Drosophila melanogaster: one gene and its partners. The protein of the gene in region 3 interacts with the protein of the main gene of each other region in a pairwise test. Each region holds a gene or a part of one and is shown on either strand. Other genes may lie near its edges. The genes, in order: Atg4a, CG5539, CG14770 and CG30060.

Evidence for each region.
Region 1: the proteins of CG14770 (region 3) and Atg4a interact in a two-hybrid assay, tested with the Drosophila melanogaster proteins (one large-scale study listed by BioGRID).
Region 2: the proteins of CG14770 (region 3) and CG5539 interact in a two-hybrid assay, tested with the Drosophila melanogaster proteins (one large-scale study listed by BioGRID).
Region 4: the proteins of CG14770 (region 3) and CG30060 interact in a two-hybrid assay, tested with the Drosophila melanogaster proteins (one large-scale study listed by BioGRID).

What each region holds. Positions count from the first base shown.
Region 1 is NT_033779.5:1,076,369-1,085,723, forward strand, and holds Atg4a (Autophagy-related 4a), read left to right. Parts: upstream 1-4,542; 5' UTR 4,543-4,875; coding exon 4,876-5,059; intron 5,060-5,209; coding exon 5,210-5,552; intron 5,553-5,608; coding exon 5,609-5,688; intron 5,689-5,751; coding exon 5,752-6,297; intron 6,298-6,420; coding exon 6,421-6,503; 3' UTR 6,504-7,010; downstream 7,011-9,355. Other genes in the region: ast (asteroid), read left to right, coding at 1,667-2,200, 2,257-2,697, 2,753-4,342; CG4629 (uncharacterized protein), read right to left, coding at 7,651-8,468, 8,526-8,768, 8,833-8,941, 9,156-9,312.
Region 2 is NT_033778.4:23,801,611-23,809,649, reverse strand, and holds CG5539 (uncharacterized protein), read right to left. Parts: upstream 4,840-8,039; 5' UTR 4,712-4,839; coding exon 3,821-4,711; 3' UTR 3,671-3,820; coding exon of another isoform or gene 3,515-3,670; 3' UTR 3,506-3,514; downstream 1-3,505. Other genes in the region: CG5543 (uncharacterized protein), read right to left, coding at 1-291; Ssrp (structure specific recognition protein), read left to right, coding at 787-840, 918-2,489, 2,550-3,095; CG13561 (uncharacterized protein), read left to right, coding at 3,401-3,454, 3,515-3,670, 4,954-5,118, 5,180-5,335; CG30177 (uncharacterized protein), read right to left, coding at 7,383-8,003.
Region 3 is NC_004354.4:1,365,183-1,373,067, reverse strand, and holds CG14770 (uncharacterized protein), read right to left. Parts: upstream 3,820-7,885; 5' UTR 3,709-3,819; coding exon 3,694-3,708; intron 3,456-3,693; coding exon 3,015-3,455; 3' UTR 2,892-3,014; downstream 1-2,891. Other genes in the region: ssx (sister-of-Sex-lethal), read right to left, coding at 21-607, 801-982, 1,046-1,153, 1,294-1,617, 1,698-1,760.
Region 4 is NT_033778.4:13,420,366-13,427,715, forward strand, and holds CG30060 (uncharacterized protein), read right to left. Parts: upstream 3,283-7,350; 5' UTR 3,239-3,282; coding exon 2,630-3,238; 3' UTR 2,613-2,629; downstream 1-2,612. Other genes in the region: ATP8A (ATPase 8A), read right to left, coding at 1-1,342, 1,474-1,671, 1,734-1,894, 1,955-2,138, 2,237-2,360.

The DNA of each region.
Region 1 (9,355 bases), on a different chromosome or scaffold from region 3:
ATGGGAGCACAGTCATATCGAAATTGTGCCAAATTGCAACTGCAGATGATAATAACGATAATTTATTTCTCCCCCAGTGAGATGTTTCTATTATACGAGCAATTTTCTGGAATCAGCGGGTGCCTAATTTCGCCCGATTTTCTCTGTTTCAGCAGCCAGGGAAAACATTTCAATTCTTCTATTTTTTCTGGTTTTTTCGGCCCACCAACAGAGGTTTTCTCTAGTTTATCGGCTTTCCCGAGGGTTTTTCCTCTTTCCGCTACCTGCGAATACCTGCCCCGAAAAAAAGAGGCGTGGGAATCGCCGAACATACAGGAGGTGCAGAGTTGGGAAATCGGAAAAAATTGCAATTGCAGGACGTGTGAAAATGTGCGGAAGACAGGAAACGTGGGCCAAGACCACTCGCAGATTTCCCGGAACGGCCTTGGCCAATGGGAAAGGGATTTTTCCCTGATTTTGAACTCACCTTTTTCGGCAAAGAGGGAAGTTATATATGTTTCGTATCCGTAAAACGAAGCTCCCAAGACACCAGAAGAACTCTGCACACACGCACTTGCTTTTGAACCGTCTTTTTTTTTCAACTCTAGGACGAATTATCGCACGGTTGATTTACGTTTTTTGCTGGTTTGGCTTAACAATTTCCTTTTGGAACATTTATTTGCACACAATTATTTATTAAATGCCGCACACACACACACAGGTGATTGGTGATCGATGATGGGCCGTGTGTGGTTGTGTTGTTTACGTACGTGTGTGTGTGCGTAGAGCACGCCTCGCACACACTGACAAAAATTCATTCACGACACGGTGATCACGATCGTCGCTCTCGCTCGCTCACTCATGGTGTTTTTGTGTGGAAAATCCAAGAGAAAAATAATACTATGTGAAGCGCAGACGAAAGACGCACAAAGCTGAGTTATTAACGTGTGTTATTGTTGTTGTTGTTTCTCGTTGCTACTGGATGTTTTCTGCTGCTGTCGCCTTGTATTTACTTAATTTCATATGCATATTTCGCCCATGGTTTTCTTTTTTCCGCTGCTTTTCCTTCTACCTGTGCTTTAGTTAAACGAACACACAAAAACAACACACACGCACGCACACCACACTCCGCGCACACACACACGCACGCACGAAACGAGAGACGCAAAGGTAAAGTGGTAAAGTGTGTGCAAGAAAAGCGACAAGAAACGGAACGGAACCAACGGAACCCGTATATATGCACGCGCTCTTCGATTCAATGGCGATTTCGGTTTCCACTGCACTCGCTGTGTTTGTGCTAGTACATTTCCCAGTTTCCTTTAGATTTTCGGTACAAGTGTTGCTATTGCTGGCGAATTTTTCTCCTGGCCACCGCGTAGCACTCGCGACGTTACGATTTTTCGACGTTTGATGCGCGGGTGGAGAGCAGACAAGCGTCGGGTTGGAATTGTCGGGACAGAGTGTGACCGCGGCGCCATCCCCGGAATATACCATCCGGCTGCGGGAAATACCCTAGATACCAAACTAATCGCTCATATATACCAAACGGCAGCGAACGGCCACGCTAAAGAATCGATATGTACATCGATAGTATCGCACTGCAAACTGACATCACTATTAGCACGCTTTTAAAGTTTGTGCAAAATAGGTAAATAGAAAATTGGGAAAATAGGCAAGCGCCGGGAAAATGGGAGTCCGCGGCCTGACCAGTTACATAGCGCAGCGCGCGGAGATCTACCTTAAGCCGCACGAGCTGCACTCCACGGCGCTGGTCATCGATGGCGACAACTTGAGCTGCAATCTGTACAAGGATGTCACCGGGAGCTACTCCGCCTTCGGCGGCGACTACGACGACTTCTACCGCGCCGTGGTGCAGTTCTTCCAGGTTCTGGCCGAGTGCAACATTCGGCCCTATGTGCTCATGGACGGCGGGTACGAGGAGCGCAAGCTGAGGACCGTTAGCACCCGGCTGCGCAACAAGATTTCCGTGATCAAGAAGATAAACCCCAATGCATCCATCACGCTGTTCCCGCTGCACCTCAAGGAGGTTTTCGTGGACGCTGTGCGCGACTGCGGAGTCCCGGTGATGAGGTGCGTCTTTGAGGCGGACGACGAGTTGGCTGCTCTGGCCAGGAAACTTAACTGCCCAGTGCTCTCCTACGACTCGGATTTCTACATCCACAACGTCAAGTACATCCCGCTGATCACGCTGACTGTTAAGGTAAGGCATAAGTTATTTGGATTCCAGCATATACTAAGCGATTCCATGTACCCCAGGTTCTCACCAAGCAGGTGAAGGACAAGAACAGCAGCAACCAGAAGGACAGTCGAGATCTACGTCACTGCGAGGCCAAGAATGTGAAGAAGCGCACCAGGGCCAACAAGATTGTGACTGGCATTCAAACCACAGGGCTGACAGCCAGTACAAAAGGCAGTTCCAAGACCTACAAGTACCTCGACTGCTGCATCTACCGGGTGTCCCATCTCTGCGGACGAGGAACTCTGAGTCCCGAGAAGCTACCCCTTTTTGCCGCCCTCCTGGGCAATGACTATATTGCCCGCAGTGCCTTCAAGAACTTTTTTGCTGCGGGAATGGGCAAAGCAGGACGAAGTCGCAAACTAAAGCTCCAGCAGAAGCGCATACAGGTCATCCTCACATGGCTGAAGGAGGAAACGGCGGAATCTGCTCTGGCTAAAGTGCTGTCGAGACTGAAAAAGGTTCGTTGCTTGAGATATCTTTTTCCGATTTATGCTAAAAATAATATTCTTGCAGAACCAGCGTGATTCCCTGGTCTCCCAAGTGAATGCAGCCATCTCTGGTTACTCCAACGAGTTGTGCCACGCCTACGATTACTTCGATGAGCACTACGAGAATGCTTTTCCTTATATAGAACCCGTCAGTGAAGAGGAATGCAGCGACGATGAACATTCGTCTAGCTCCGATGAAAAATTTTCAGATGTCGAAGAAGGCGAGGATCAGGAGGAAGCTGATAACCAAGATGAGGAGCAGCAGGAAGAAAATCAAGACGTTGATTCGGGTGATGAAGAAGAAGAGGAGGCGGATGAAGGCCTCGAGCTGGAAGTGGAAGACAAAACGCTACTCTTCCCACAATGGTTTCTGGACAAACTATATCCCGCGCACCTGCCCCGCAGCTTCGTGGACCTTATGCACCTGCGCAAGTACATCAACAACCCACAGATCGAGCACTTTCCCTTCCACGACTCCAATGAAGTGGCCTTACCCATCCTGAACTACGTGTTCGCTCTTCTCCATCACGTAGAGTGTGAGAAAATTGAGCTACCATTAGAAGTGGATATGGATATAGAGGGTTCGACAGTCCCCTATCTCACCTACCTCACCAGAGCTCTGCGAGTGACGAACGTGAGGTATTTCAAGATGCCCATTGAAAAGAAGCCTGCCTATCCGTTTGATCCTCTTTCGCCGGATGCTAGGCATTTAAGAGCTGTATTCGAAGACAATGCTCCCAATGCGGATACGGAGAAGTTGTTCAGCAAGCTCGACCAGTTGCCGGAGGACCTGAGGCTGTACTTTCTGGCCATTATCTACTGGTTACATCGCTCGGAGCACTGTGATTTGCTGCATCTTCACTCGCTGATCCTTAGTTTGGTTGTCCTACGAACCATAGATGTTACAATCCCTGCTGAACGAGAGGTGAAAACCTTCCTTAAAAGATTTGGCAAGACATTGAAAGCAGAGCGAGCAGTGAGGGATAAGGAAGCTGCCGAGGGAATTAAGCGCGGCATCAAACCTGCTCTGCTAGAGCTTTCTGTTCCAGATCGGATGGCTCATGTACCCAAATCGGACTGCTATTTAACTCAGGAACGCCTACTGCCGCACTTCCATATGCAGGAGATCTTCAAAAAGAAGTTTGACTTGTACTCCACCACGGTTATCCACGCATTTGCTGAATTTCAGGCTGTGGTTTACCAACTCAATGGGCTAAATTCTCTTTTGGATTTTCCACTTTTGAGTCCGAGGATGAACCAGCTTTATTGCGGCGCCTTTCTCTACAACATGTATGATGTACTGAGGAATCGTGCCGATGTCCGCTACCATGTTGAGAACTTCCTGCTGCCCGACTCCAAGTTGATGTTCGATTTCTATTGCTACTTGTACGACTGGTGCGCGGAGTTTATACCAACTTGGAAGCGATTGGAGGTGGATCCGACGGCGGCAAAGGCCCTGCAGAAGAAGCGATTGAAGAAGCAGCGTCAGGCGGCTAGGAAAGTGGAGCTAAGGGAGGCCATCGCGGATCCCAATGCGGAAATGGTCGAGGATGCCGATCCAGAAAACGACTTCTTCGATCTGAACAACAAATTCTGCGCACTCAAGGTAGCGTAGCTAGTTTGAAGTCCCGCACGTGCAATTTTGAAGTTTTTACATTGTTACAAATCTATACTTTGCGTAAAATAAGAAAAAAATTAAATATTTTTTAAAAAACTTCATTTTTGAATGCATTTCATTAACAGTTTGGAAAAATACTGTTATTTCCTATGTTATGGTCATGTTAAGTGCAAGGTTCGGTATTTTGGCAAAGTAAAATACCTTATCAGTTGCGGTCATACTAACAGCTACGTCACTGCGTTGTAATCAACAAAAAAGAAAAATAAATCAAACTAAACCAGCCGCAGACTGATCAAATGCTGGTTATCGCATAGTTTGTAATCAGCGCCCGTCACTGCCAACAACAAATGAAACCCCTGTGACCTCGGGCCAGAAGCAGGAGCATTGCCGTTGCTGCCAGCGAAAACACAGGCCAAAACAAAGGCCCACCCGAAAAACAGAACGTCATTCGAAGGCAATTATCGTATAGACGAGCAGCGGAGGCCCTGGTGTCCACCCCCTTCTCCTTCTGCCAGCGCACCGGGCAGTAGATGCTGGTTGGACTCAGCGACCAGCTAGCGCGGATCATGGAGAGCGTCTTCGAGGCGTACTTGGGCCCAGACAGCGTCCTCGCTAGTGCAGTTGGCCAGGCGGTGGGCAGCGGAGAGCCGGAGGACATTCCCCGAAGAAACACCGACGTCTGGGTCCTGGGAAAGAAGTACAACGCCATACAGGGTAAGATGAGACCTTATTTAATGCTGTCATATGGGTACAAATCTAGCATATTGGTCAGCATGAGTCATAAGGGGTTTCCCAAACCTTTTTTCGATTATCATCGATGGATACCAAACTGAAATCCATAATCAACACCCTATCCCTTTTCAGAGCTAGAGCTCATCCGACGGGACATTCAGTCGCGCCTGTGGTGCACATATCGCCATGGATTTTCGCCGTTGGGAGAAGTCCAGCTCACCACGGACAAGGGCTGGGGCTGCATGCTGCGCTGTGGTCAGATGGTTCTCGCCCAGGCCCTGATCGACTTACATTTGGGACGCGACTGGTTCTGGACGCCGGACTGCCGTGATGCCACCTACCTCAAGATCGTGAACCGTTTTGAAGACGTAAGGAATAGCTTCTACTCCATACACCAGATTGCCCAGATGGGAGAGTCCCAGAACAAAGCGGTCGGCGAGTGGCTGGGACCGAATACAGTAGCCCAGATTCTCAAGTAAGACCATTGGCCTAACATGGTGGATAAGTGGTATAATCAATTGCTGATTTCAGAAAACTAGTGCGCTTCGATGACTGGAGCTCCCTGGCGATTCACGTGGCCATGGATAGCACAGTGGTATTGGATGACGTATGTAAGTGTGGAAAATGGCCTAAATAGCCCGACTATTTGCCTAACAACATTGTCCACTTTGTAGATGCGTCGTGCCGAGAAGGAGGCTCGTGGAAGCCACTGCTGCTCATAATCCCCCTGCGCCTGGGCATCACAGACATTAACCCGCTTTACGTGCCTGCCTTAAAGCGCTGCCTTGAACTAGACAGCAGTTGTGGCATGATCGGAGGTCGACCAAACCAGGCTCTGTACTTCCTGGGCTATGTGGACGATGAGGTTCTCTACCTAGATCCTCATACCACGCAGAGAACGGGCGCCGTGGCACAGAAAACTGCTGCGGCAGAACAGGACTACGACGAGACCTACCATCAAAAGCATGCTGCTCGCCTGAACTTCTCCGCCATGGACCCCTCGCTGGCGGTTTGTTTCCTCTGCAAGACCAGTGATAGTTTCGAGTCCCTGTTAACCAAGTTGAAGGAGGAGGTGCTCAGCCTCTGCTCGCCTGCGCTCTTCGAGATCAGTCAAACCCGCGCGGTCGATTGGGACACCACGGAGGACATCGACTGGCCCACCATGCCGGACATCGATTGGCCTGCGGGCACCTCGGATTCGGACTCTTTTGCCATAGTTGGTAAGTTGGTTCTGTTGAAGCTGACCATTAAGACCATTATTTATAACTTCACAGCTTGTAATCTGAATCAACAGTCCGAAATTTCACTCCGATTTCACTCAATAAATTCACTCCATTTTCCAGAAGAGAGCGGCAGGGACAGCGACGCCGGCTGTAGCGGCGCCATTGGCAGCGGCAAAAAGCCCAGTGAGAGAGCCGTCATTTGAGAGGTCGCCGGCGGAGCGCCTGCGCCTGCGCCGCACCAGAGCAGATGAAGCCCAGCCAGGCGAAAGTGGAGCACCCAATGAGGAGAAAGAGAGTGGGCCGGGAGGTCGAGCCCCTGCGGATGCTGCGAATGCAATAAACTAAGGCTAAAGTGCATAATTAGACGAGTGGTTGAGATTTAGATTTTAGTATGTTTACGATTTGTACGAATGCGGTTCTTAGCGATTCATAATGCTGCTTTATTGTACGCGATTGACTCCACGGGAGACAATTTGGCAAAACACACACACACAGAGCGACACTTACGGACACATACCGCTTTTTGATGATCAATTAAACATTTTTATGCAACGTTGTACATTGAAGACTCGATGAGATCGAGGCAATCGCCTTAGCCCGGTGTGTATTTATATGTTTGTAATCGTAATATTCATTTTCCTTTCGTATATTCGTCTGTATATGCTCAAAAATGGACCAACAACTAAATACATAATACTTGGACTATATGTATATATCTATATATGTATATATATATGTATGTATGTATATATCAACTTTGCCATCCGCCTCTGGACTCAACGGCTGGACAAACTCAAGCTACACGAACCAAGGAACTTTCTCGAATGAGTAACCAGGATGAGGATGCAGGAATCTACGTTAACAACAAACACGCGGCTACGCAGCTGGCGAATTGACACTAATTGGGCTTGACCTTTGGCCTTCCGGGCTGATTCCCGCAGAAAGGCAAACTGGGATTTGCAGATCAGAGTATCCAACTGTCTCCTACTATCGGAAGATAATCCTTTCTATTCATATTCAAGCGACTTATGTTTCTTGCGCTTCGAATGCATTTAACTTTTGCAATTCATCCATCCTAATTCTCGATATTCTGGTTAAATTCTATGTTGTATTCACTATAAAATTTTCTAATCTCAATTTGTTGGTTCAAAATCAAGCACTGGATATTTAAAGCTGATCGAAACGGACTAGCCTCTAGTAGGAAAGGTTTTTGAGCTACTATTTGAGTTCCTTGAACCTTAGATTCCTTTCAAAAGCGACACACCCAGTTTGCCTTTCCTCTCGGGGAACTCAAAGACCCAGCGGAACCAGGAGAGTAATATGAACATTCAACAACTATTTTCGGATGTCTTAGAGTATGCAGCACGACCTCTCAATCCGCTTCTCCACCTTGGGCTCGCTGTGCAGTGCCATCTCCACGTGCTTTCGTGCCAGCCAGGACTGCTTCTGCAACCGATTGACCACGATCCTGTAGGCGCCAATGATGTCGGAGCGCGGCCCGCTCTGCCTGGCGTTGATCAGCATCTCGGAGGTGAGGCCCAGCTCGGCCAGGATCTGGCGTGCCTCGAACTCCAGGGCACCTAGCTGGCTCAGATCCTCGGTGTTCGTGGGCAGCATGACGCAGCTGCCCGTCTCCGCGTCGTAGTTCTTGAACAGGGGGCAATCCTCGGCCACCTCCACATTCCACGGATTGATCTTGGCCGAACCGATTGACTGTCCACCGTTGGCCAGCTGCTTCTCCGGTTCCGTTTCCATGGGCGTGACCTTCTTCTTCAGGCTGCCGCAGAACATGTACCTTCTGGTTGGACGCTTCGCCTGCTCGGTGGACTGTGGCTCCTTCAGCTGACTTGACACCGGGACCAACAGTTCGTGTCCCATCTCGATCGGTTGCAGGAAGTTCTGCACAAACATCTCGTCCTGCTGCCTGGTGTTCATGCTAATGGCCGGCTTCTTGACCACCTCCGCGTATCGATCCCGTAGTGAGGCGGACTTCCGCAGCCGATGCGACTTGCTGCGCACCCAGAAGATGGACCTCTTGACCGGCTTGGTGTGCTGGTTGATCTCCCACTGCATCAGATCGGCACTGAGCTTGGGACAGGTCACGAACTGGCTGTTCAGCATGTCGTCGATGGTTGGCCGCTGGGCGGGTATATGAATCAAGATGCGTTCTAACGAAGATATTAGGTTAAAGCAGTTTTTTTATTATTTAATATTTATCCACTCACGTATAAGTCTTATGCAGGGCAAGCTGAGCTGGCCGGGCAGCAGATAGTCACCCTTCAGGATGGCTGCTTTCAGGCCGGGAATCGTTGGTGCCCGGAAGGGCATGTTTCCGACCACCATGAAGTAGAGCAGGATGCCCAGGGCCCAAACATCCACGGGCGCCCCTATGTAGTGGTCATCGGAGAAGAGCTCGGGCGCCGCATACGGAGGGGATCCGCAGAACGTGTCGAGCTTTTGATTGGCACCTGTCAAAGGGAATGGGAAAGTTGATTAAATTGCCGACGCACTGGCTTGGCTGTTCACCCGTACCATTGATGAGTTGGGTACTGAAACCGAAGTCGGCCAGCTTGAGGCGATCCTCGGAGAGGAGCAGGACATTTTCCGCCTTTATGTCCCGATGCACGTAGCCCAGACTGTGCTGCAAGTGCGATTAAGTTCAATTAATTTTGCAGATGAAATAATTGAATATTGAAAACACGCATGCAAATTAATATTAAATGGGCCATAAATCTCTGTGTGAAAGATTTAAAATGCACGATTCCCCGTTGGCAATATTGATTTTTGGTTGAGATACAATTAAATTATATTTCCCACAATTCACTGCGGATTTCTATAGATGGGAGTCAGCTTACCATATGTTTGACTGCCAGGAGGAGTTGTTTCAGCAACGGGGCCGCATGAATCTCCCGCAGCGGACCGCCTTGGGTGATGTGGTTGTATAGCTCGCCACCGCGAATCCACTCAGTGACCAGGTAAACGCGGCCCAGAGTTTCGACCACCTCGAAAAGCCTGCAAGGCATAGGAAAGATGTAGGGCCAACTCTAGCAGATAT
Region 2 (8,039 bases), on a different chromosome or scaffold from region 3:
AACTCTCGCCTTTTCTATCTGCTCGTTGATGTCGAACACCTTGGCCGCCTTGCGACCAAAGCCACTGATGCCCATCACTTCCTTGAGGTGCTGGCTCTCCAGATCTTCGGCCACGTCCTCGATCTGCCGAATCATCTGCTCCTTGTCCATTTTCTTGAATCCTCCGCCATTTCCGCTGGCTTCAGTGGACTCCTTTGCATCTTCCGCCTCGGTTTCGTTGGATCTTGGCTCCGCAGGAGGTACGTTTACATTCAGTTTGATTTTCCCGAAGGAAATTTTACCGCGTTGCATAGTTTTAAGGCCCCACGCTAAGTGGATTTTCAAATTTTTAATTAAAACTATATTTCTCTGAAAATATGCGGTAAATATTTTGTAAACAAGTGAATTAAGTGACCGTTTATATTCGGACTGTCAATTTGGTATTTTAAAAGATCGAGCGAATTGTTATGGTCTTTAAATAAGCTCTGGCTTGCCCATTAAAATTTTTCAATTTAATAATGACTCATATATTGTTCATGTATTGCAAACAAGATATATATAAACAATAAAGGAAACTGCATTGGAATATTAAGAGTTTATATCGATTGCAATTTAAGAATAGTGCACTCAAAAATACTAAACACACATACGGTCACTCTAATATAGCTGACTGGCGTCTAACCTAAAATTAGGCGCGCAGTGTTGTTTTGTGTCTGCCGGAATTATTGTAAATTGGTGACAATTTCGCAAGGCGGCGTAATACATAGTTGATCTATTATCTTGTTACTGGAGAGGAAGAAGTGCAGGATGACAGACTCTCTGGAGTACAACGACATAAACGCCGAAGTGCGCGGAGTCTTGGTGAGTCGCAAAAAAGCCGGCGTATTTTGTCACATTTCGCATGACCGAGGTTTTCCATTTCCCTGCGCGCAAAAAAGTGTTCCGGACGCCTAAAGATGACCGAGCAGAACATCATCTTCAAGAACACCAAGACCGGCAAGGTGGAGCAGATCTCGGCAGAGGACATAGACCTGATCAATTCGCAGAAGTTCGTGGGCACCTGGGGACTGAGGGTGTTCACCAAAGGCGGCGTGCTCCACCGCTTCACCGGATTCCGCGACAGCGAGCACGAGAAGCTGGGCAAGTTTATCAAGGCTGCCTACTCGCAGGAGATGGTCGAGAAGGAGATGTGCGTCAAGGGCTGGAACTGGGGCACCGCCCGCTTCATGGGCTCCGTCCTGAGCTTCGACAAGGAGTCGAAGACCATCTTCGAGGTGCCGCTGTCGCACGTTTCGCAGTGCGTGACCGGCAAGAACGAGGTCACCCTGGAGTTCCACCAAAACGACGATGCGCCCGTGGGTCTACTGGAGATGCGGTTCCACATACCCGCCGTGGAGTCGGCCGAGGAGGATCCGGTAGACAAGTTCCACCAGAACGTAATGAGCAAGGCCTCGGTCATCTCGGCTTCGGGCGAGTCCATCGCCATTTTCAGAGAGATCCAGATCCTCACGCCTCGCGGTCGCTATGACATCAAGATCTTCTCGACCTTCTTCCAGCTGCACGGCAAGACGTTCGACTACAAGATTCCCATGGACTCGGTGCTGCGGCTCTTCATGCTGCCCCACAAAGACAGTCGACAGATGTTCTTTGTGCTCTCCTTGGATCCGCCCATCAAGCAGGGACAAACGCGTTACCACTACCTGGTCCTGCTGTTTGCTCCCGATGAGGAGACCACCATTGAGCTGCCATTCTCGGAAGCCGAGTTGCGAGACAAGTACGAGGGCAAGCTGGAGAAAGAGATCTCCGGGCCGGTGTACGAGGTGATGGGCAAAGTGATGAAGGTGCTGATCGGTCGAAAAATTACCGGACCCGGTAACTTTATCGGACACTCTGGCACGGCTGCAGTGGGCTGCTCGTTCAAGGCTGCAGCTGGATATCTGTATCCCCTGGAGCGAGGATTCATCTATATCCACAAGCCACCGCTGCATATCCGCTTTGAGGAGATTAGTTCTGTGAACTTTGCCCGCAGCGGCGGATCCACGCGATCTTTCGACTTCGAAGTGACGCTCAAGAACGGAACTGTTCACATCTTCTCCTCCATCGAGAAGGAGGAGTATGCCAAGCTCTTCGACTACATCACACAGAAGAAGTTGCATGTCAGCAACATGGGCAAGGACAAGAGCGGCTACAAGGACGTGGACTTTGGTGATTCGGACAACGAGAACGAACCAGATGCCTATCTGGCTCGCCTCAAGGCTGAGGCGAGGGAAAAGGAGGAGGACGACGACGATGGCGACTCGGATGAAGAGTCCACGGATGAGGACTTCAAGCCCAACGAGAACGAGTCCGATGTGGCCGAGGAGTATGACAGCAACGTGGAGAGTGATTCGGACGATGACAGCGATGCTAGTGGCGGCGGAGGCGACAGCGACGGCGCCAAGAAAAAGAAGGAGAAGAAGTCCGAGAAGAAAGAGAAAAAGGAGAAAAAACACAAGGAGAAGGAGAGAACAGTGAGTAATGTTTGCTTATTATTATAGCTTATGGTAACATGTTTTTATATGTTTTTATAGAAGAAACCCTCCAAGAAGAAGAAGGACTCTGGCAAACCCAAGCGCGCCACCACCGCTTTCATGCTCTGGCTGAACGACACGCGCGAGAGCATCAAGAGGGAAAATCCGGGCATAAAGGTTACCGAGATCGCCAAGAAGGGCGGCGAGATGTGGAAGGAGCTGAAGGACAAGTCCAAGTGGGAGGATGCGGCGGCCAAGGACAAGCAGCGCTACCACGACGAGATGCGCAACTACAAGCCTGAAGCGGGCGGTGACAGCGACAACGAGAAGGGTGGAAAGTCCTCCAAGAAGCGCAAGACGGAGCCTTCTCCATCCAAGAAGGCGAATACCTCGGGCAGCGGCTTCAAGAGCAAGGAGTACATTTCGGACGACGACTCCACCAGCTCCGACGACGAGAAGGACAACGAGCCTGCCAAGAAGAAGAGCAAGCCCCCATCCGACGGCGATGCCAAGAAGAAAAAGGCCAAGAGCGAGAGCGAACCGGAGGAGAGCGAGGAGGACAGCAATGCCAGCGATGAGGATGAGGAAGATGAGGCCAGTGATTAGGGCCATAAACACAACAAATCAATTCCATAAACACACACCACGCTCCTCACACACCCATGTCCCAAATCTAGTTTACATTCGCCTAGTTTAGTTAAGTGCTGCCTGTTGGATACAGACCCATACGTTTTTGTTTAATTAAAACTCAACAACAATTCGAAAGTTCAAGTAATTAAACAGAATTGATAATTGCCCGTAATGATTGATATCTATCGATTATGGTTTCGCTTGACTGGCTTTTGCCACTTTCGTCAACATTATAATGCCACAGTTTGCCAGTTTTTAATGGCTCTTTGGTGAACTTAGTGATGGCCACGTTGACAGAGTTATTCCTCTTGTTTGGGCTGTGGCACATTTTGCAGGCAAGTTCGACCGTAAGCTAGGCCGGCTGGGATTATGAACCGAACACTAGCTCACTTCAGGTCCAAGGAGTTGCCAAGTTCACAAACATCGAGTGCCTGAGTGCGGACGAAAACTTCACCACCGTTTCCCTGTGCCGATTGTACGCCGTAAAGAGGGATGTCGTCGAAATGAGTCTGCGGGCCAACATCCTGCGATGGCCAAAAGGTCCGGTATCGGTGAGTTAGTTTGCAAAGCTAGGGCGTTCCTGAATGCCATAGTTGAATAGCTATCTATAGTAGAAAATGCGAGTCCAAAACACTAGTAATTAAACAACTTGAAACCTATCCATGCCTAAAACCAATTTATGTTTTGAATTAATGAAATAACTATAAACCTGTTTGAGGTTTCACAAATGATTGTGCTAAAAGACGGCGACGGCTGGCCGGTTGACGCTGCTGACGCACTTCCTGGCCGCTGGTCTCCATCGCCGTCTTGGCCAGCAGATCCTCCACATCGTCATGGAGGTCCTCCAGCTTGGTGGCGGAGGCAATAGCAATGGCATTCTTGAACTTGCGCTGAGGTCGGCGATTAATTATCCTGGGTGATTCCGACGACACGTCGCTCTGGAACTGCTCCGCCTGCAGGTGCGTGGTGGCCTTCGAAACGCCCACCAGAAGCTCCTCAGAGTCGTCACGGAGGTGCTCTAAGCTGCCAACGGGACTGGAACCACTGGACAGATTTTGGACAGAGACGTTGGCCGAGTCAGTATCCTCGGAAGTTCTGCCTCCAATTCCTTCTCCAGTGGAGTCCTGCAACAGATCGGAAGTCCTAAGGGGAGCAGTGCTCGATCTCGACCAGAAGCTGGACACGAAAGGCAGTACAGAGATTTGGGTCTGTGCCACCAGCTGTGTCATCGAAGCGAGGGCGTCGATCAGGAGCTTCTCCTTGCCCCGGTGCAGGAAGTGATCGATCTCCTCCTGCCGCTTTGCCAGCACCGGACGCAGGATGGCGTCGAATATCCAGACATTGGCGGCCGGAGCGGACAGCACGATCCACACGACCAGGAGCAACTTGGTGGGCATGTAGAGCGGCAGCCAGGAGAGGAAGACGTCCGCCAGCACCTCGAAGGTGACCAGGAAGGCGTAAACTATCCAGTATTTGGCCCAGGCCAGGAACTCCTCGTCTCCGCTGTTCAGAGTCTTATAGGTTTGCCAGGCCGGTCCCATGGTGCCGTAAACGAAGAACAGGAACTGCGAAACAAGGCCAAAGAAACACATATCTAAAATATACGGTGGATACTAGGACTGCCAGAATAAGTGTTCTTCTTTTGGAAAATTCCGAATTTAATGCATGGGCTATAATCGAAATTGGCAGTTTAAGATCGATGTGCCTGTGTATCTAACTGTTTGTTTAAAAGTGTGGCGATATTCTACAGCCAGTTGTGTGTAAAGTGTAAAGCACAGCCTGCTGGCGTATAGCACCAACACCTTAGTGTAATACCAATATGTTTCTCCTTCAGATGCGCATGCAGCTGCTGAAGAAGGCCAGTGGCTATAAGCCCTTTCTCTACAATATCTGCCAGTCGGATGTGTGCGAGTATCTGGAGAAGCGGAATCATCCCTTCATTAACATCATCCTGAGCAGTTTCGGGAACAGAACCAATGTGAACAAGTGTCCGATTCCAGTGAGTTTGCCTAAGAAATGATTGATTATGATGTTTACTTCAGTTCTTCTATCGATTACAGCCGGAAATAGTGTTGGAGCACTTTCGGTTTCCCGTCAAGGTTCTGGACATGATGCCCCTGCCCTTCGGGGACTACGGACTCTTCACCACCTTCACTTTCCACCGATCGGAGTTGGCCCAGGTTAAGGTGTACTTCACATTAACAGAGTATCGCTAAAGGCACACAAATCACGAGTCGCATCGAGTATTTGTTATAAACATCAGACGCGGTGCAATAAACCAATTAATAAATTTGCCATAAATTTGTTAACTGCCCGTAAAAGAGCTCTCCGATTTGATTATCCCTTTGTAATTGCAATAAACGGATTTTAATTAAAATTATTAATGCGTGCATTTCATTTGAGTGTAATATGTAAATGGTTCTGACACGTGGGAACGCGAACCGATTTCACTGAAAAACATGGCTCATTCGGATAATTTTCGGCCAATCCAAGGTTAGGAGCATTGGCTTCTGATTCAGATCGGTTTTCGGTCGAAATTTCTTTCGCACAATGAGCCAAAAAGTCTTGACCCTGTCCAAAGCCGAACGCTCGTTCATGACATTTCAGTTAGGCAGGCATTCAAAAAGCCATCAAGAAAAGGTTCCCATACCATTCCCATTCACAGAAATCTCAGCTATTGAAACCGAAACCGAAACCGAAACCCAAATCAATTGTAATTGCGTCTAATAAATGAAATGTTGACGGAAATAACGCAGAGGCATTACGTGTGCGATTGTAAAAGGCAAATTCACAATTACCAGCATGCATGCATAATTAATTTGTGGGTCAATTGCGAAAACTTGAACTTCAATTCAAGTGGCTTTGGCTCCGATCCCCATCTCCACTGGGGTGTCATCTTTGGCACAACGACAGCCGCATCGCCTAGGAAGTGATTTTTTGTGGGCTTTCGGGATTTGCATAAATGCCGCCAATTAATTTTGTTATGCAAATTAATGGCAAACAATTAGCGATGCGAGACAAAGCCGATTTATTAATTGCACGTCTTATTATTATTGTTATTTTTTTTTTTTACAAAATATGTAAATGCACCATCTTATTTCGCACTCCGCTTCGTTCTTCGCCTCGTTTTTTTGCTCCACCTTGCTGTCAATGGCAATGCGCGCTTTATCGCTGATTAACCCAAACTTAAATGGAGCCTACCCCAGGCACCCGTTCCATCCGAGAATCGAGAGGACCGCGGCCAAAGGCTAAGGAACTTTGGCCAGGAGCTAATGACTCCGCGACGTGGGTGCAGGCAGCTGATGGAATAACCTCTGAATGCCAATGATTAAGTGCAAGCTGTTGGAAGGTGTTTTAGAAACATGTATGTGTTTGTGTATAATTTCAATCTGTTGGGTAAACAACAAGTTTCCATGCTCTCGTTTATTAAAAAAAGATAGAACACTTTAATAGTTTGCTTGTCTTTTGTCAACAGATCATTAGAGTTTATTATTCCATCTCCTTCCTGATAAGCAAAGCTAACGCTTGTGTTTCTACATTATCAGTACGATCACATGAAATACAGGAAATTAATAAAGCAATAAATGTTATTCAAGTGATTAACCGCCTTATTGCTTCTAGAAGCTGGTTCGACCCCCATCGAAAATTTGTTTGCCAAATCAGATCCACGAAATTGAAACAAATTGCTTTACAATGCGCTGACGAATGCGTCACTTACATTGCGGTTGTTATTGCGAATTTGCTGAGTTTCGGATTTTGATCAAGATTAATAGTGTGCTAATTGCATTAAGATTGTTGCCAGCGACAGCAACAGAACAGCATTCCCCAAAAAGCCGCAACAACCGTCCCGACCGTCGCAGCAAGTTCGTTGCTTCAGTCTTTTGTTTTCGCCTGCCCTTCGGCGTTATCCATTAATCAGCTGCATCGCCGCCAAAGGTCCGTGCAAGTGTTCTGTTTTGCTTTCAACAATTTATCGGTCGCAGTTTTGTTCACCAATTTGTAATAACAATATGGGCCAATGGCCAACAAATCGCTACTGATCGCTGGATCATCGATTCCTGGCGCCGATCCATGAATCAATTAACATGCCCGTCCGCTGGCATTGAACTTTTCTAATTGAAGATTAATGGCAGCTGCTGCTCTTCTGTAAACTCCCCTAGAGTGATTCAACACCAAGGTTTTGGAAGGAGCAGGAAAACCAAATAATGCTACTCAGGCTGACCTTCCTCTTGAACGGCTGAAGTTGGCTTATAGTAGGGCGGACTACTGCTGGTCCCCCCCTCTCTGGCCTAAATAATCGATGACATTGTGCATGGATTCCCGGTTAAATTTGTCCAGTTCAGCTGCTCGTAAATGCCGAGGGGAATGAATCATCATAGGGCTCTCATGCTGATGGCGATGGTCGGCCGAATTCTTTGCAATCTGCGTCATGAGATTCGACAGTTCTCTTTTCAGCAGACGGTTATTGATCCGTGGCTCCGTGATATGCTCATCCTCGTCCCTTGGCATAACCACTGTCACCAGTGGTGATTTCATAAAGCCGCGAAAAATGTTTCTACAGACTTTTTCGTGCCAGCGAACACCTTTCTCGACGACTGGACATAGTTTTCCCATAGAGTACGTGTTAAGCAGATTGAACAGGTGATTGGTGCTGTATGGGGCACTGAACCAGAGGCCCACGGACAGGATAAGCTTGAGACCAGCGTAGAAGGATAGGCCACCGAGCAGGAAATCCGTGAGGACTCCAAGTCCCTGCAGCAGTGCATAGATTACCCAATACTTCAGCCAGAGTTCGATGAAGTGTCTCTGGTCATGTCCAATAGCCCGCAAGCTGCTCCATCCAGGTAGCAGGGTTCCATAGTAAATGTATACCAAGCGCAGCATGCCCGCTGCTTAAACAGAATGGCAAACAAGTTAAAA
Region 3 (7,885 bases):
TGTTGTTCTATTTGATCTACCTCTGTGCGCCATGTGGTGGAAGTTACCACCACCGCCTCCACCGCCGCCGCCACCACCACCACCGCCGCCTCCGTGAATGGGCATGCCCATGCCCATGCCCATTCCCATGTTTACGCCCATGCCCATGTTCATGCCCATCGGGTGCATTTGCTGCATGTGGTGCGGATGCGGGCCGCCCATGTTGTGGTGGTTGTTGTTGTTGTTGTTATGATGGTGGTTGTTGGGGTGATTGTTGTTGTGGTTGTTGGGATGGTGGTGCTGCATGTGGTGCAGCTGCGGATGGTGCTGCGGATGCTGGTGTGGATGCTGCGGCTGATGATGATGCGGCGGCATATGCGGATTGTGGTGGTTGTTGTGATGGTGATTATTGTGGTGATGAGGTGGGTGCATCGGTCCACCTGGGCCCATGTGGGGCGGACCACCGCCTCCGCCACCATTGCCACCTCCGATCTGGGCCATAAACTGGGCCGCCTTGGCCTTGCCGTGTTCCTCGGCGAGTCGTACCCAGATTGGCTGGGATCCGCCCTCCGGCACCGTGTTGTTCAGCGCCTTGATCGCCTCTTGAGCTTCCTCGCGCTTATTGTAACTGCAAGCAAGAAAGCGGGTTTCAAAAGCAGAATCGAAGTAAGTGCAGTTCAGCCACCAGTCGAACTCATGATAAATTTGGACGTGGATTTCTGTGAGCATACAATTAAGTGGGGCACACTGGACGGGAATTGAGCACCGTGACCTAATTTCGAATCGTGGATGCTGCACACGCAGATCGCACCCGTACTCACCGCACAAAAGCAACGCCGCGCGGTCGTCCAGTGAGCTTATCCCGCAGGATGTTTCGCTGAACAATCAGGCCATAGGGCGAGAAGATGCGGTCGAGCATGTCGTCGTTGATGTTTCGCGACAGGTTGATGACGTACAAATTCGTATCCTTAATGGACTGCCCACCCGGTCGAGCATACGACACCTGAGGGAGACGAAAAAGAGAGTCACAAAGGAGTCATGGGAATTCCGGGGGATTCTAACGCACCTTTAATCGCTTGTTGCGCACATAGAAGCCATTTAGCTTCTGGATGGCGTCCTCCGAGTCCGACTCCGTTTTGTAGTCCACGAAGCCGTAGCCGAAGCTATATCCGGTCTGTTCCGTTGGCGGGCATACAAAGCAGAGGGGAGTGTAAGCTGCATTCGTGTGTACATGCAACGTGCGACAGGGATGGCACCTGTTACGTGCAGTTCAGCAGGTATTCTGGGCGCTCAGGCGGCCACAACCGAACTTACCTTGAAGTCGCGCATTATCTTGCAGGTGTTGATGGGCCCGCAGCCGCTAAAGAGGTTGTACAGTTCGCGGTCGGTCATGTCCTGTGGCAAGTAATTGATGATCAGATTGGTGGCGCTGGTTCGGTCCACTTGCTGCATTTGCTGCTGTTGGCCTGCGGAGTTATCGTTGCCCTCGTTGTCCTGGCTGTGGTGTTGCTCCTCGTCGCCAGAGTGCTCCTGGCCGTCGCCACCGTTGCCGCCATCTCCATTCTCCTGCTGCATGTTGCCGTTGCTGTCGTCGTCATCGTCGGTGCCGTCATCACGGCCCACATTGTCGCCGGATCCCTGCACCGAAGCAGCGAATAGTCGGGAATATACGCGTGAAAACAGGTTCGTCGGCTCGCTAAGAGAATCCAAAAACTCACCTCTATGTCGGAGGACTGCTCGTCGTCGTGCTCCTGGTCCTGCATCTTATCCGCGTTGGACATGACCTTCTGTGTCAAGCCTTGATAGCTCCTGTTTGTCTGGGTTTCTTGCGTGTTTGCGTCGCAGTTGGCGCCACGAGCTGCAACGATACAAGAGAGTGCAAATCAATTAGTTCGCCAAGAAGAAGTTCAAGAGGGATTCCGATTAGGAGTCGCAGTAGGGACGAGCGATGCTCCTTGTTGCGCGGCTGCAGGATGCAGATTGAGCGCAGCTCCACACTCGGGACTCCGGAACTGCACTTCCTCTCGGCAAAATCAGAATCCGAATATGTGTGTGTACATCTCGGCAGCCGAGCCAAGGGGGAGGAGCCGGACGGAGGGCGCCAGCTTTGCTGGAATGCGGTTGCACTCGGTAGCCTGCCACTGCCCGCCCCTGGTCTTTTTAGGGGTCCGTACCAGGGAGTCCCAATAGCAACTCCGGCGCTACCCGCAATACTTGGAAAAAGCTGCTGGAAAAGTAACTACCAACACTCGCGCACTCGCCCATACACGCACGCACACATACACACGGCAGGCGATGCGTCCGTGTTTTTTGGCTTGGGGCCGTGCAGCCGAAAAAAGCAACACGAAAAAGCGTAGGCAGCACGGAGTCCTCGGGAAGCAGCCAGCGGCGGCCACGGAATACTCTGCAGGTGCAAAATACTCACTTTTTAGCAAACTTCTTCACAAACTGCACCGGAAAGCAGCGAGTTTTGTGCACTTCTTGCGTTTCCAAACGATATACAATGGAAGTCAATTCTTCTTCGATAGCGGTGCGATTTGTATCGGAACCTATCGGGGCCAGCAGTTCTTTGATAGTTCGATAACTCATGCCGTCCGCCTCTGGAAGGCATCAAGTGTTTTAAACCATTTTTTGTCTAATTGCCATTGTTAAGATTATTATTGAATTTCTTCAGTACTTTATAGCAGTTATGCCAAAAACAATTTTTCGCCAGGGTTGAACCTAAAAATATACCAGAACACAGAAATACCACAAGCGGTCGTGGTGCGATAAATTGCCTGCGCGTTCAATTATTGATAGATCGTTATCGAAGTTCACCTGAGCAGTTAAATACACTGTGAAAGAAGTTGTGGCAAATTCAGAGTGGAGCAATCAAAAAAGTTTAAGCAATATAATATAAGATCTCTTGATTTGGGTGGTACTCTATACTCTAGGTCAACGCTTTATTAACACAAGAAAATTAACGTAGCAAATCCTTAAACGCTAACGAAATCCCCACAGCTCATTTGGCATTTCCGATTCTGGTAGTCCAAGTCCTACTCGTGGTGCGAGTAGTGCTCGTAGTGCTCCGAGTGGTGCACCGGCTCCTCGTAGTGGCCGTGCTCGTGGTGCGACTCGCTGTGGTTTTCGAGCACCAGTCCGTGGTTGTGGTTGTGCTCACTCTTCGGGTGCAGGATCTTCAGCTTCTGCTTGGTGCCGCCGATCTCGATAGGCTTTTTCACCAGGTGCTGGTCCTCCTTCTTGATGTAGACGGGCACGGCATGGTAGTGGTGGAACTTGACGCTCTGGTGCGAGGTGGCGTGCTTGTGGTCCACCTCGTGGTGCAGCTCCGTCTCCTCGTGCTCCGGCTCGTACTTCACATGGTGCTCCGGCTCGTGGTGCTCATGATGGTCGTGGTGCTCGTACTCCTCGTGCCCCTGGTGGTAGTCGTGGATCTTCAGAGCTCCACTAACGGCCAGAAGGGCCAGGCAGGTAATCTGCAGGAATGGGTAATATAGTCAATGCGGTATTCCATTTTAAACTAAAAATCTAATGTTAAATATATTTCCAAGTTGTTAATGAGGTGGTGAGGTTGAAAAACAGAACATGCATTCCATTTTCCATTCCGAAATATTCAGAAATATTTGGTTCTTGTTTTTCATAAACTATCTTATTGACTTGAAAACGTTCATTCCATTAAACGAATCTATGTTTGTAAAGTGTTTCGGTGCTTACAGCCAACTTGAGCATGGTTTTCTGGTTGCTTTTGAATCACACACTGGGGCACAATCAAAAAAAATATTCGAAACTGTAGACCGTTACGCGAAGTGCTCCTCTTGGCAGTGGCGAACTGAATGTGGCTCTGCGTTCGGGACCAGATTCGATTTATACCCGGTTTGGGCCAATCCCACCAACGCTGGCCAACCTGTAGCTGGAGTTGTGGCAAGCGAAATGTGAAATGTGCAACACCAGCAACAATGGCAACACACGGCAACGAACTTCAGTCTGTTGTTGTAATTTATGACCGCTGCCTGCCACAATTGTTTGGAAAATTTGGAAAATAGGTGCGTGCGATAGTGGTTCAATTAAAGCGGATTACGTATACGGCATGTGGCCTTTGCTGCGGCGGCGGCCAGTTTCCTGCGCAGGAGAAACCGAAACCCGTTGTCAATCAACGGGTTAACAACCACCCAGTTGAAAAACCAGTTGACGTTGAAAAATTCGATGCAAGTGCAAGGCAATTAGACGGTCAAAGATAGGCAAATAGAAAAAATCACAAAACGGAAAGAGAGGCCCAATGTAATCAATTTTGCCCACGTGAAAGATCCTTCTGAATTCCAAGGACAAGCACTAATGATCGGGCAGTAAACACCATCTATAGGCTAATTGCAATTCTATTAGTTTATCACCATTGCCAATCGTTTTCCCAATCCCAACGATAGCCACCGATAGACAACTTCCCGATTGCTCGCGACAGTTCACTCATGGGCCAATCCCTGATGATTGATGATTAATGATGAATGGATTAATGATGGATTGAGATGAAGAGAAGGGATTTTCGCAATCCCCACTGCAAGCTGCAAGTGTCGGGTGAAAGGTGCGTCCACTTCGATCGATAAACGAACGAAGTGAGCAATTAAAATGCAGCACATTACCATTAGATAATGACTTCGGCGGCGGGTTAACGACTCCACTTGGGAAGCTCGCGAATTGCATAGCCCAAACCCATTTCGTTCCGAATGCCAAAATACCACTTGAAGCGATTTAGTGGGTTAGTGTGCTCTGGGCGGGCACGAAATGGCGGCTGTGTGCACATATAATCGATTTGAAAAGTAAAAGTAAACTGCTTTCCCAGTCGCACGATTTGCATAACAGCCACAACGCCACCACGCCGCCAGTCTGCAGTCTGCCGAGTCCATGTCCAACATGCACCCGACATGTCGAGCAGTTTTAATTATCAATCCGGCGATAAATCTCCTTATATAACTCCATAAATTGACAGGAAGTGCTGCTTACCAAGTCTGTGAAGTAAAAATTAAAGGAATAGCGTAACTGGTTCGGGAATCCAGTAAAAGGCTTGTTTCCTAGTCCCCCATCATTATTCTATGCTTAGATCCTACTCCCAAGAACCGAGCACCCAGCTTAATTTATCATTTTTAATTTAGGATACGCAGTCACCGACTATCTCTCTTCGAGTGCGGACGTCTGTGTCTTTCCAATTGTGTGAGCTTTGCTTATCGCGTAATTACCATCGCCGTTACATTGATATTTATCATCTTATCTTCTTGATCTTCTTATCAACGCGTACGTGCAAATCAAAAACATTCAATATCCATAAATTTATTAACCATGGCCCCCGGGCCACTCAATTTGGGGGATAATCGCTTTGCCAGTCTCAGCGCTAGCCCCAAAGCTAAGAAAAAAAGACCCTTTCAAAAATTACAAGTTGATTTCCCAGACCTCCCTGAAACGCAGTGCAAAAATCCGAGATATTTAGTGGTCTCATCAAAAAACTCTCCGAAAACCATATCCGACTACAACTGCTTTGCTGTCCATAGAGCCCTTAAGTATATCAGCAAAGACATTACATCTATCTCTAATCTTCGGGATGGTAACCTTCTCTTGCTGGTTAACTCCAGGGAAATTAGTGACAAATTTATCAAAGTGACTTCTTTACCTGGCTTATGCGATATCGAGTGCAAGCTCCACAACACTCTTAACTTTGTCAAAGGCACCATTTACGCTCCCTGTCTTATTAACATTCCAGAAAACGAAATTGTTGAGGAACTAAAATCACAAAATGTACACAGCGTATTTAAATTTACCAAAATGATCGACGGCACCCCCAAACCTTTTGGAAAAGTTCTCGTAACATTCGACCGTTTCACTCTTCCCAGTAAACTAACGGTTTCCTGGCACACAGTTAAGGTGTCAGAATATATACCCAACCCGATGAGATGTAAGTCTTGTCAATTATTAGGCCACACATCAAAGCACTGCAAAAACCCACCTGCCTGTGTATCATGCAATCTCGCTCCCCACCTTCCCGTGCCATGCACTCGCATTTTCTGTGCAAACTGCACCGGCCAACATCCAGCCTCCTCACCCGAATGCCCACAATACCAAACACAAAAACAACTGCTCCACATCAAAACAAGCAAAAAATGCAGTTTCTATGAAGCTCGCACTATACTAAAACAACAACAAAACACAACAAATAACCCCACGCTTACCTACTCGACCGTCGCAAACCAAAGCACAGCATCCGTGATGCTTGTCAAAAAATCCCGAAACCCTAACACGATTACAAACACCGACTTGCCCACCAGCTCGACAAAAGTACCAGCTCCGCTCTCACCAACGTATCCCACTTCTCGGACGAACTCTTTGAATCTCGAAGAGAATCTTACTTCCTCCCCAAGCACCTCTGACAAAACTGATTTCTCTTACCTAAAAAAAACATGCATCGAACGATCTCGCTCCCTTAGGGCGGAAGCAAACGCTCTACTAGGACAAACCTACAACGACGACAACAATACGTTAATGACCTCAAGATCCAACTCAAACGAATCAATTGCTTCACAAACCTCAAATCTACAAACAAAAATCAACACAACAGACTCAGACACTATGGACGATCCCGATTCCTAGTCCTGATCCTCTCACCCTTACCTTCATATACACACACCACAAATTAATAACAGTCCAACAAAAAACAATAAATAAAAAAAAAAAAATTTTTAATCATGACAATTACTATATTACAATGGAACATCCACGGCATTTTTAATAATTACAACGAACTGACACTACTCATAAAAGACCATGCACCCGATATTGTATTTTTGCAGGAAACCAAACTTCCATGTAATTCTACAAATTTTATTTGCCCCAAAGAATATAGTGGTTACTTCCACAATTTTTCTTATAACACCTCAGCCAAACAAGGCATTGGTGTTCTTATTAAAAGGAATGTCCCACATACATACCGTAACATTAACTCCAGCATACTCTGCTCCGCACTGCAGCTTAATTTTGAACAGGTCATTAATATTGTTAATGCGTACATCCCACCAAGTCAAATTTTTTCATCTTCTGACATATCAGAAATTCTTCAAAATCTTAACGGATCCACAATACTCCTGGGTGATCTTAACTCATGGAGTCCTTTATGGGGTTCACCTCGCACAAATACAAGGGGTAAAAAAATTGAAACCGTAATTCTTGAAAACAGCCTAATTGTTCTTAACGACGGTTCCCCGACTCACCTTTCAACTCACAATACGTTCACCCACATTGATATCTCACTGATATCTCCACAGATAGCCCATATGTGCAGCTGGTCTATATCAGATAATCTCCATGGAAGTGACCACTTTCCCATAACCATCCACATAAACACACCTACCCGTCCCGATAACACTTTACCCCTGCCTAAATACAAGACAGACCAAGCGAACTGGAAACGCTTTAACGAAAGTTGCGAAAAATCAGCAGCATATTGGACGGTCGGTTGCCTAAATCAGCAAGTCGCACAAATGACGAAAGTCATACGTTCAGCTGCAAACTATAGCATTCCCCAAACGAAAAGGGTGATCCACAAAGCCAAGGTGCCATGGTGGAACGCTAACCTTCAACAGCTTAGGGACCAAAAGCAACGCTTGTTCTCGTCCTACAAAGCCAATACGAATGATACAAACCTTATCCGATACAAAAAAGCAAACGCGCTTTTCAAAAAAGCTGTACTTTCGGCCAAGCGTAACTCCCTTGAAAAATTTACTTCCAAAATCTCCCCAGTATCCTCCACAAAAAAGGTCTGGTCAGATATAAAACGCCTAGCCGGCATCCCTCCCACTCCGTTCAAATATATCAAATCCAACTCGGGTACTCTAACTGGATCATTTGATATCGCCGAAGAGTTTGCCTT
Region 4 (7,350 bases), on a different chromosome or scaffold from region 3:
ATCCATGGAGTGGCTAATCAGACGGCAGGAGTAGCCAATATTAATGGCCGTCTCCTGCTTGTCACCGGTAAGGACCCAGATATAGATGCCGGCGTCCAGCAGAGAGGCAATCGTTTCCGGCACACCATCCTGCAGTCTATCTTCGATTGCCGTGGCGCCAAGTAGACGAAGATTGTTCTCAATCAGATTGGCCGCGTCCTCCAACTTGCTCTCGCGATTCTGAAGAGCCACCGATGCCTTGTCGAAAGTCTGGCTCCATTCTTGGTAAACATCCGGCCGAATGTCAGCAACTGCCAAACAGAGGGTCCGCAATCCATCCGATGCAAACTCCTCCAAATGACGCAGCGTCTGTTCCCGGAAGGCTTGACCCTGAGGAGCCAGACGTTCGTATATCACCGTGTCCGCTCCCTTGCAGAATAGCTTGATCTTATTTTCCGGCGTGCGAACAATCAACGACATACGCTTACGCGACGAGGTGAACTCCAGGACATTCAGAACTTCGTATCGCTTTCGCACGCCTAGCGCATTGATCTCCACATACTTTGGCGTTCGTGTATCGAAGATGTAGCCAAATTTCTGGGCACCTTCCACCAGAGCACGCTCATCCGGACTGGCAGCGTGGTAGATCATGTTGCCGTTTTCCTTGCGCTCGGGTATTACCGTATGGCACACCGATAGGAGTTCCAGGAACTCCTCTATCACGGCGGACGTCTCATGACGACCGAGGATATTCTGCACTAGCTGAGATTCCTCCGGCGTTCGCTCAGCTGTGTATACGTATCCGGCGATGGAGCATTTCTTGAACTCCATCACGTTCTGCGTGAGGGTGCCTGTCTTGTCCGAGAATATATACTTGACCATGCCCAGCTCTTCGTTCAAGTTCGAGGTGCGCGCCATGGCGGGCGTGTTTGATTCCTCGTGATACATCTCAATGTCGTAGTTTATGAAAATGGCCTGCAGGAAACGCACAAGCTCAAGCGTCACCTGTAGCGAGATGGGGATCAGGTTGTTGTACAGAATGAAGAAGGTCAGCAGGTTGTAGCCAAGGCTCTTGGTCTTGAAGTCGGTTAGGCCCAGGTACCAGTCCGTTTCCGAATGTTCCCTTGTCCAGAACAGATTGCACAAGCCGCTGATGATGCACAATGAGATGAGGATCATGAAGAGCATGAGGATCTGGGTGTTGGTCAGCTTGTCTACGGTTGAGCGCTTCAATGGCGCCGAGGTAGAGTTCTTCATCAGCTTCGTCTCTTGCCCGGAGTAGACCACGATCCCGAACACCCATGCCGTGTTCCGAAGAATGGCGCCACGTTGGAGCACCTGATCATTGCCCAAAGCAGCGGGTCTACAAAAAAAAAAGATGTTTTTATTCATTTGAAATAGCAGTAGGGTGACAAAAGTCACTTCTGAGACTACACACATTGTTTAATTAGTTCTCTTACTGTTTACATAACTATTTAATAACAAATTACTCACGGCTTTCCAGTTTCCCTGAGCACTCCGTTAAACTCGTATAAATGCCGGTTGGGCAGCTCGCACTCGATCCTGCCCTCCAATCGTTGCAGATCCTTCGTCTCCAGCAGTTCAGCGGTGGCTGGGAGGGCCTGTCGAATCTTCAGGTTGGTCTCACCATCCAAATTGGCCGTCTCTATGAAGCACATGGCCTGCGGTTCACTGTGGAAGCATCAGATTCGTATAAAGTATCAAAACAAATTGGGGTTAACTTGGGTGCGCACCTGGACGACAGCAGAATCAGATCGGCGGGGAAGAAGGTATTGATTCCCACTTTGATGATATCGCCCACCGTCAACTCCGACCAGCGAACTGTGCACCACGAGCCACTATCCAGGCGCTCTATCGATCGGTGATTGATCTCATTATCCGCCCGATGTCGTTTCTGCAAATCATGGAAAGATATCAACAACTCAACTGGCTATATGTTACTCTTAGTACTTACAATGTCCTCGATTATCTCCTTAATGGCGCTCACCGAAAGGATGAACATCAGTGGCACTAGCGTGGTGTAACGACCCGTCGGCGACACCTCCGGGATTTGTTGCAGTATGGCAATTAGCAGGAAAAAGCAGTTGGAGTAACGCCGGAATTGCTCGAACAGGAACGCGGGCAAAAAGCTGATGAAACTGCATGCAAATGGGACAGATTGTTGTTTACTTTGTGTCTAATCCATTCATTTAGGTCATGATAGTTATCAGGCGCTAAATGGCTCGTACTCACTCACCTATATTTTGCCGTCGTTATGCGATTATTACCGTACTTAGTGGGCTGTGGCCCATTTAGGTTTATGATACGCCTCTCCCCATCATCTGCATCGTACCCAGCGGACGAGGTGAAGTCCTCGTCATCTGAAAATATGTATGAAAACGTTGATTAATAGGTGATATCAAAACGTGAGAAATCGGAAAATTACACGGCATTTATTACCGTGGACAGCGATGTTTCAATTAAGTTCTCATTTTTTGCTGATTAGTAATCGGCTATTATCTTTTGAATGCTACTATATCAATGATTTGATATTATGGCTATATATACCAAGGACATACAAGTATGAAATTATAGTCGTCCCAAGAACTGTATTATAAGAACAAGACTAATTTAAAACTTCGAGCTTTTATTAATTTTCATTTCCATTTGAAGGTTCGAATTCATGTTCCGAGACGAGGTATGTTGGTGTCCATCGCCATAACCATTCCACCAGATAGAAATTGGCAGCCATCGGATTGCCAAGCGCATACTTCCTTGCAAAATTATGGCAATTGAAGGTGCCACGACCCTTTTCCTCGCCCTCGGGAACGAAAGTCTCGTCGAAATCGAGCTCCAGATACTGCTTGAAGGCCAGGAAGACGATTCGATGGATGTTACTGCCGTGGATGGTCCGCCGGTTGTCGTAGGCCACAAGCGTCTGACCCATGGCGACATCGCAGCCCGGAATATTACCGACCATCCAAATGAGCCACTCCGTATTATTGTCCGGCGGCACGTCCAAGTCGACCATCATCAGCGTGTGATAGTGTTCCGGATCGGCCTTAAACCGAATGATCGGTTGCTTCAGCGTCTCATTAATCACTACCATAATGCCCGGTTTGATGTCGATATCGCAGGGATATAGCACACTGATCACCTTCGTTGGCTTGCAGGCAAAGAGGCGGGGTATCACGTGGTGCCTCTTGAGTTCCGTGACCAGTTTCTCAACTGGACAAAGGATCGGGCAGCTCACCAGCATGGTGGTGGAATTTCAAAATTTTGGTTGACAAAACAGGAAAGAGGAGCTAGGCTTGCTATAATTGGCATATAAGCTTTTTTTATTGTTTATGGAACAACAAGAACCGCAGATGTCTGTTGTTCTAGATCAATTAAAACTGATCAATCGATCAATCGAATAAATAAATTCATTGTTTGGTTTCTATAGTAGTTACTCTAGATCGCATTTCAGTTGTACTATTTTATAGACTGTTGGTCTTCAAAGAATCCCATATTTGTGTACACAATTTCCCCATCATTTGAAAGATTTGAATATTTTTCTAGTCACTTACGACTCCAACGAATGCGCATCGCCTTGTAGACATTACGAAAGTCCATTTTGGCCCGGCGAAAAAGCGCGGGACAACGGAAGCGTCCTGCCCGATCCCTAGATGGCGCCGCTACCACCGACTCCACCGTCTCCTCCTCCGCTTCCTCTTCCTCGGGCCCGGGTAGCTCGTCGGATCCAGAATCGCAATCGCCCACGGGCACGAATGCAATGCACTCGCCAGCGGTCTCCTCCTGATTCCGCTTGGGAAACCCCAGGATGGAGGGCAGTTGGTCACTGGTGACAGCCTCGGCAAGGATAATCAGCCACAAGTGGGCGTGGCGATTGGCAAATGGTATAAGAGTAGTCCTGTGGGATGGCGCCTGCGCCTCCTCTTTTTCAATCAATGCGTATAAGAAAACACAATTTTCATCCCGTACGGAGGATTCTGTGCCATGCACATTTGCCTATACACACGGCCAATGAAGGGATTCCTACGGAGCACCATTTGACCACCTAATCAAAGTGGTTCACCAATGTTCCTTGCGTGGCCAACTGGTCGTATAACTTTTTCACATCCATCACCTGGCAACGTGCCTGCACTTTTCCGTTTCAGGTATCGATTTGTCACAATTAAGTTGAATGCGTTAAGCACGTGATTTTCCGGCCAACAGATTTAAACGATTTTGATATATTCAGTAAGTTAATTTGATTGATAATAGCTTAGCTGACACTGATTGACGAACGATTATCTAAAGTTACTTAAAATTAGCAAATATTCTGCGACACACTTTCACCACCACACACTTTTCACTATGTGCGCTCTCCTGAGCTCCGATACTACGACTGAAATGAAATTTCCACGAGCTCGAAGGACCCAGAAAGGACAACAGGGATGGGTTTCCCGATGTGCGGGGTGTGGGGTCATCCCCCCCCAGGTTGGAAACCCCTTGAGTCCAACCCACCACCCCTCAAAAGCTGCGTAGTGCATTCTCCAAAAGGAGCTTATGAAGCTTGCGATTTATCAGTAAACCCAAAACACTGCGTACCTACCACTGGGAAGCTTGGGAGATCGGGTTGGGGGGTGTTTGGAATGCAGGAGCAAAAGCGAAAGCGAAACGTGCTAGCAAAACAAAAGGTGAGAAACAAGGGAGAGCTACGTACGAAAAGAGAGCGCGAAGAGAACGCGACTGCGCCTTAAGTCAAATGTTTTGAAATGACTTGGAATTTGAAGGTCGACCAGAGCCGACCAACGAAGTACCCTAACTATCATATATCGTATTGCAAGCGAGTTAATGAATGCTAGGAAGCATATTTTCCCAACTTTATATTGAGTTACTCATATTTCCGAATAACTATGGCTAGAAAATCTGTGGACCGTAAGTTTCACTTTCTAAAATAAATATTACATTTTATGGCAAGATCATAATAACTAACCACATGGAATTTTGATAAATAATTTGTAGCGATTTAAAAAATTTCTAAAAATTTCAAGTGCGGTTCAAAAAAGAAATTTTAAAGAAATTCATTTGTTAGTTGGGATATGAAAGCTATATATACGCACATATATATTTTATATATATACTTTAACAAGTATAATGGCTTAGTTAAAAAACATATGCACCTTTTCTTTTTTTCCGGCCTGGGCGTGTTCTTTTAATATAATTTTTCACTGACTGCATACTGCCCATCACGGACGATTCGTCCAGCCTTCGATGTGGATTACTGCCGTCTGTTTCCGTGTTCCCGTCACCGCTTCTGGATGGCGCAGCCCGATCATTGTCCGAGGGAGGTAAGTCCGCTCCACCGGACGGAGCCATCGCTGGACCCGTGGTGGCTGTCCGCCGGAGCAACTGGCTCCTCAAGCGGCGAACACCAGACTTTATGCTTGGCCACAGACTGCGCACATTGAAGGTGGCTTGGCTGGGGGGCGGATTGTCCAGGAACTGCAGCTGTCGTCCTTGACTGTGTCCGTTGTGTCCATTGCGTCCGTTGCGTCCGTTCTGGTCGTTTCTGCGTTCGCTGTTCGCTCCATTGTGACCACCACTCGCGTGTTTGCCGGAGTCTGCCATCCTAACATGGCTCCGCGAATCGCTTGAATCACGCTGCAAATATACGGGTACACCTTTCACTCAATTTCCAGATCTTATCTGTTGCGACACGACACGATTCAATTAGTGGTTTCAGTCGAAGGACCGTCGAGACTTTTCGCTGTCGCGAAATTCTATTGCACTTTGGATTTTGCGTTTCACTGTCATTTTAATTCAACGTTGCCGATTTTTATAATTTATGGCTTGATTTTCAAAAGCTTGCTGTGTGCTAAGGCACACTGGACTGGATTAACCCGAGTACTAGAAGATTTAATATATATGTCCACATATTTCAGATATCACGCTAAAGTCGATTGCCAACTCATCGTCATTAGGCGCAATCACGTTTGAGTCACTTGTATTGTGTAAATGAAACATATTGAATCATTTAACAATGAAATAAGTATACCCTTGTTTAAAAACAGTTGAAACCGTAAACAGAAAAGTATTAAGTAAATAATTAAGGCCTGAAAACTCGCCTCAAGTGCTTCTCATTGTGTGTGAGAGATTTTCTATAATATAAATATAAATAATATAAAGATAGATAGTGCTTCGATTAAATCGCGTGTTTTACTTGAATTGCAAATATTTTACTATTTCTGCTACTATTTTTTCCATGGCCTAGTATTGATTTACTGACCACCCATGAGGGTAATTTAGTTGTCATTACGCGAAGAAGTAAGCCAACCAAACAATCATCAATGCAAAATGCCTCTGAAAAACGTCATTAAGATACACGATATCCCCTAGATCCGCATATATAGTCACTGTTGAGCTGGTATCCTTGATGTGATATCCTTTAAATCTAATTATAAAGCGGTTTGGCATTGTAGCTACGCTATTCTGTATATCTGTTTACACGGTTGCTTTGATTCAGTATTCCTGCAATTTACTTTGGATTAATTAGCCCTAACAACCCACCAGTTCCCCCGGGAAATCGCCTCGTGCGACCAGGTAAACACGAAAGGTAGTTTAGCCATGGATAAATTCAAATATTTATGTTTTTTTGGGGGGTGGGGAGCGTAGGTGGATAGGAAAGTCCAGCAGCGATCATCGACCTCGGAAATCGGAGGCTAATGAAGAGACTTTGTAGCTTTCTAGCTGTCTGCACTGACCAAGTGATATGAGTGACGAAAAAGTATCTATTTGCGTGCCCGCTACGTGTTTTCCGGCCATTACCACATGGTCACCCGGAGCAACAAAAACAAACCGAATTATGGCGCCCGCAGAGCCATTAAAACGACCATAGGGGGGGTTCGATTGTGAAAGGATTCTCCGGTGGCGTTGCACGTGTGGGGATTTGAGAATTGGATTCCTGAATGGATGGCGAATGGTGCAGTCAGTGGTCGTCTATGGGGTCTACTCAATGGGGTTTATCGATTGCTCCAGTTTCTTGGAATATGCCTTGCATTCTGTGAGCACATATAAGTACCCGTAATCAACTCCTGATGACCTTCGCACAAGCAAAACGCAATTACAACTGGGCTGGAAAATCGACAAAATTATATACATATGTATGTACTCAATTGGACTTAGTTAAGGTAAATTAGTCTTTAATATTTATAGGCAAAGGCTTTCCTCCACCGATTCGTTTGAATGACTATCAATTCGATTTGGTCTTATGGAGTCTGACGTAAATCGCCTCAAGTAGATCTATCTGGTAAACATATGTGGCAACCAAAATATACATATCTGCGACGCTATTAAATTTTATTCCGCCAGCCGCGACGGCGTCTA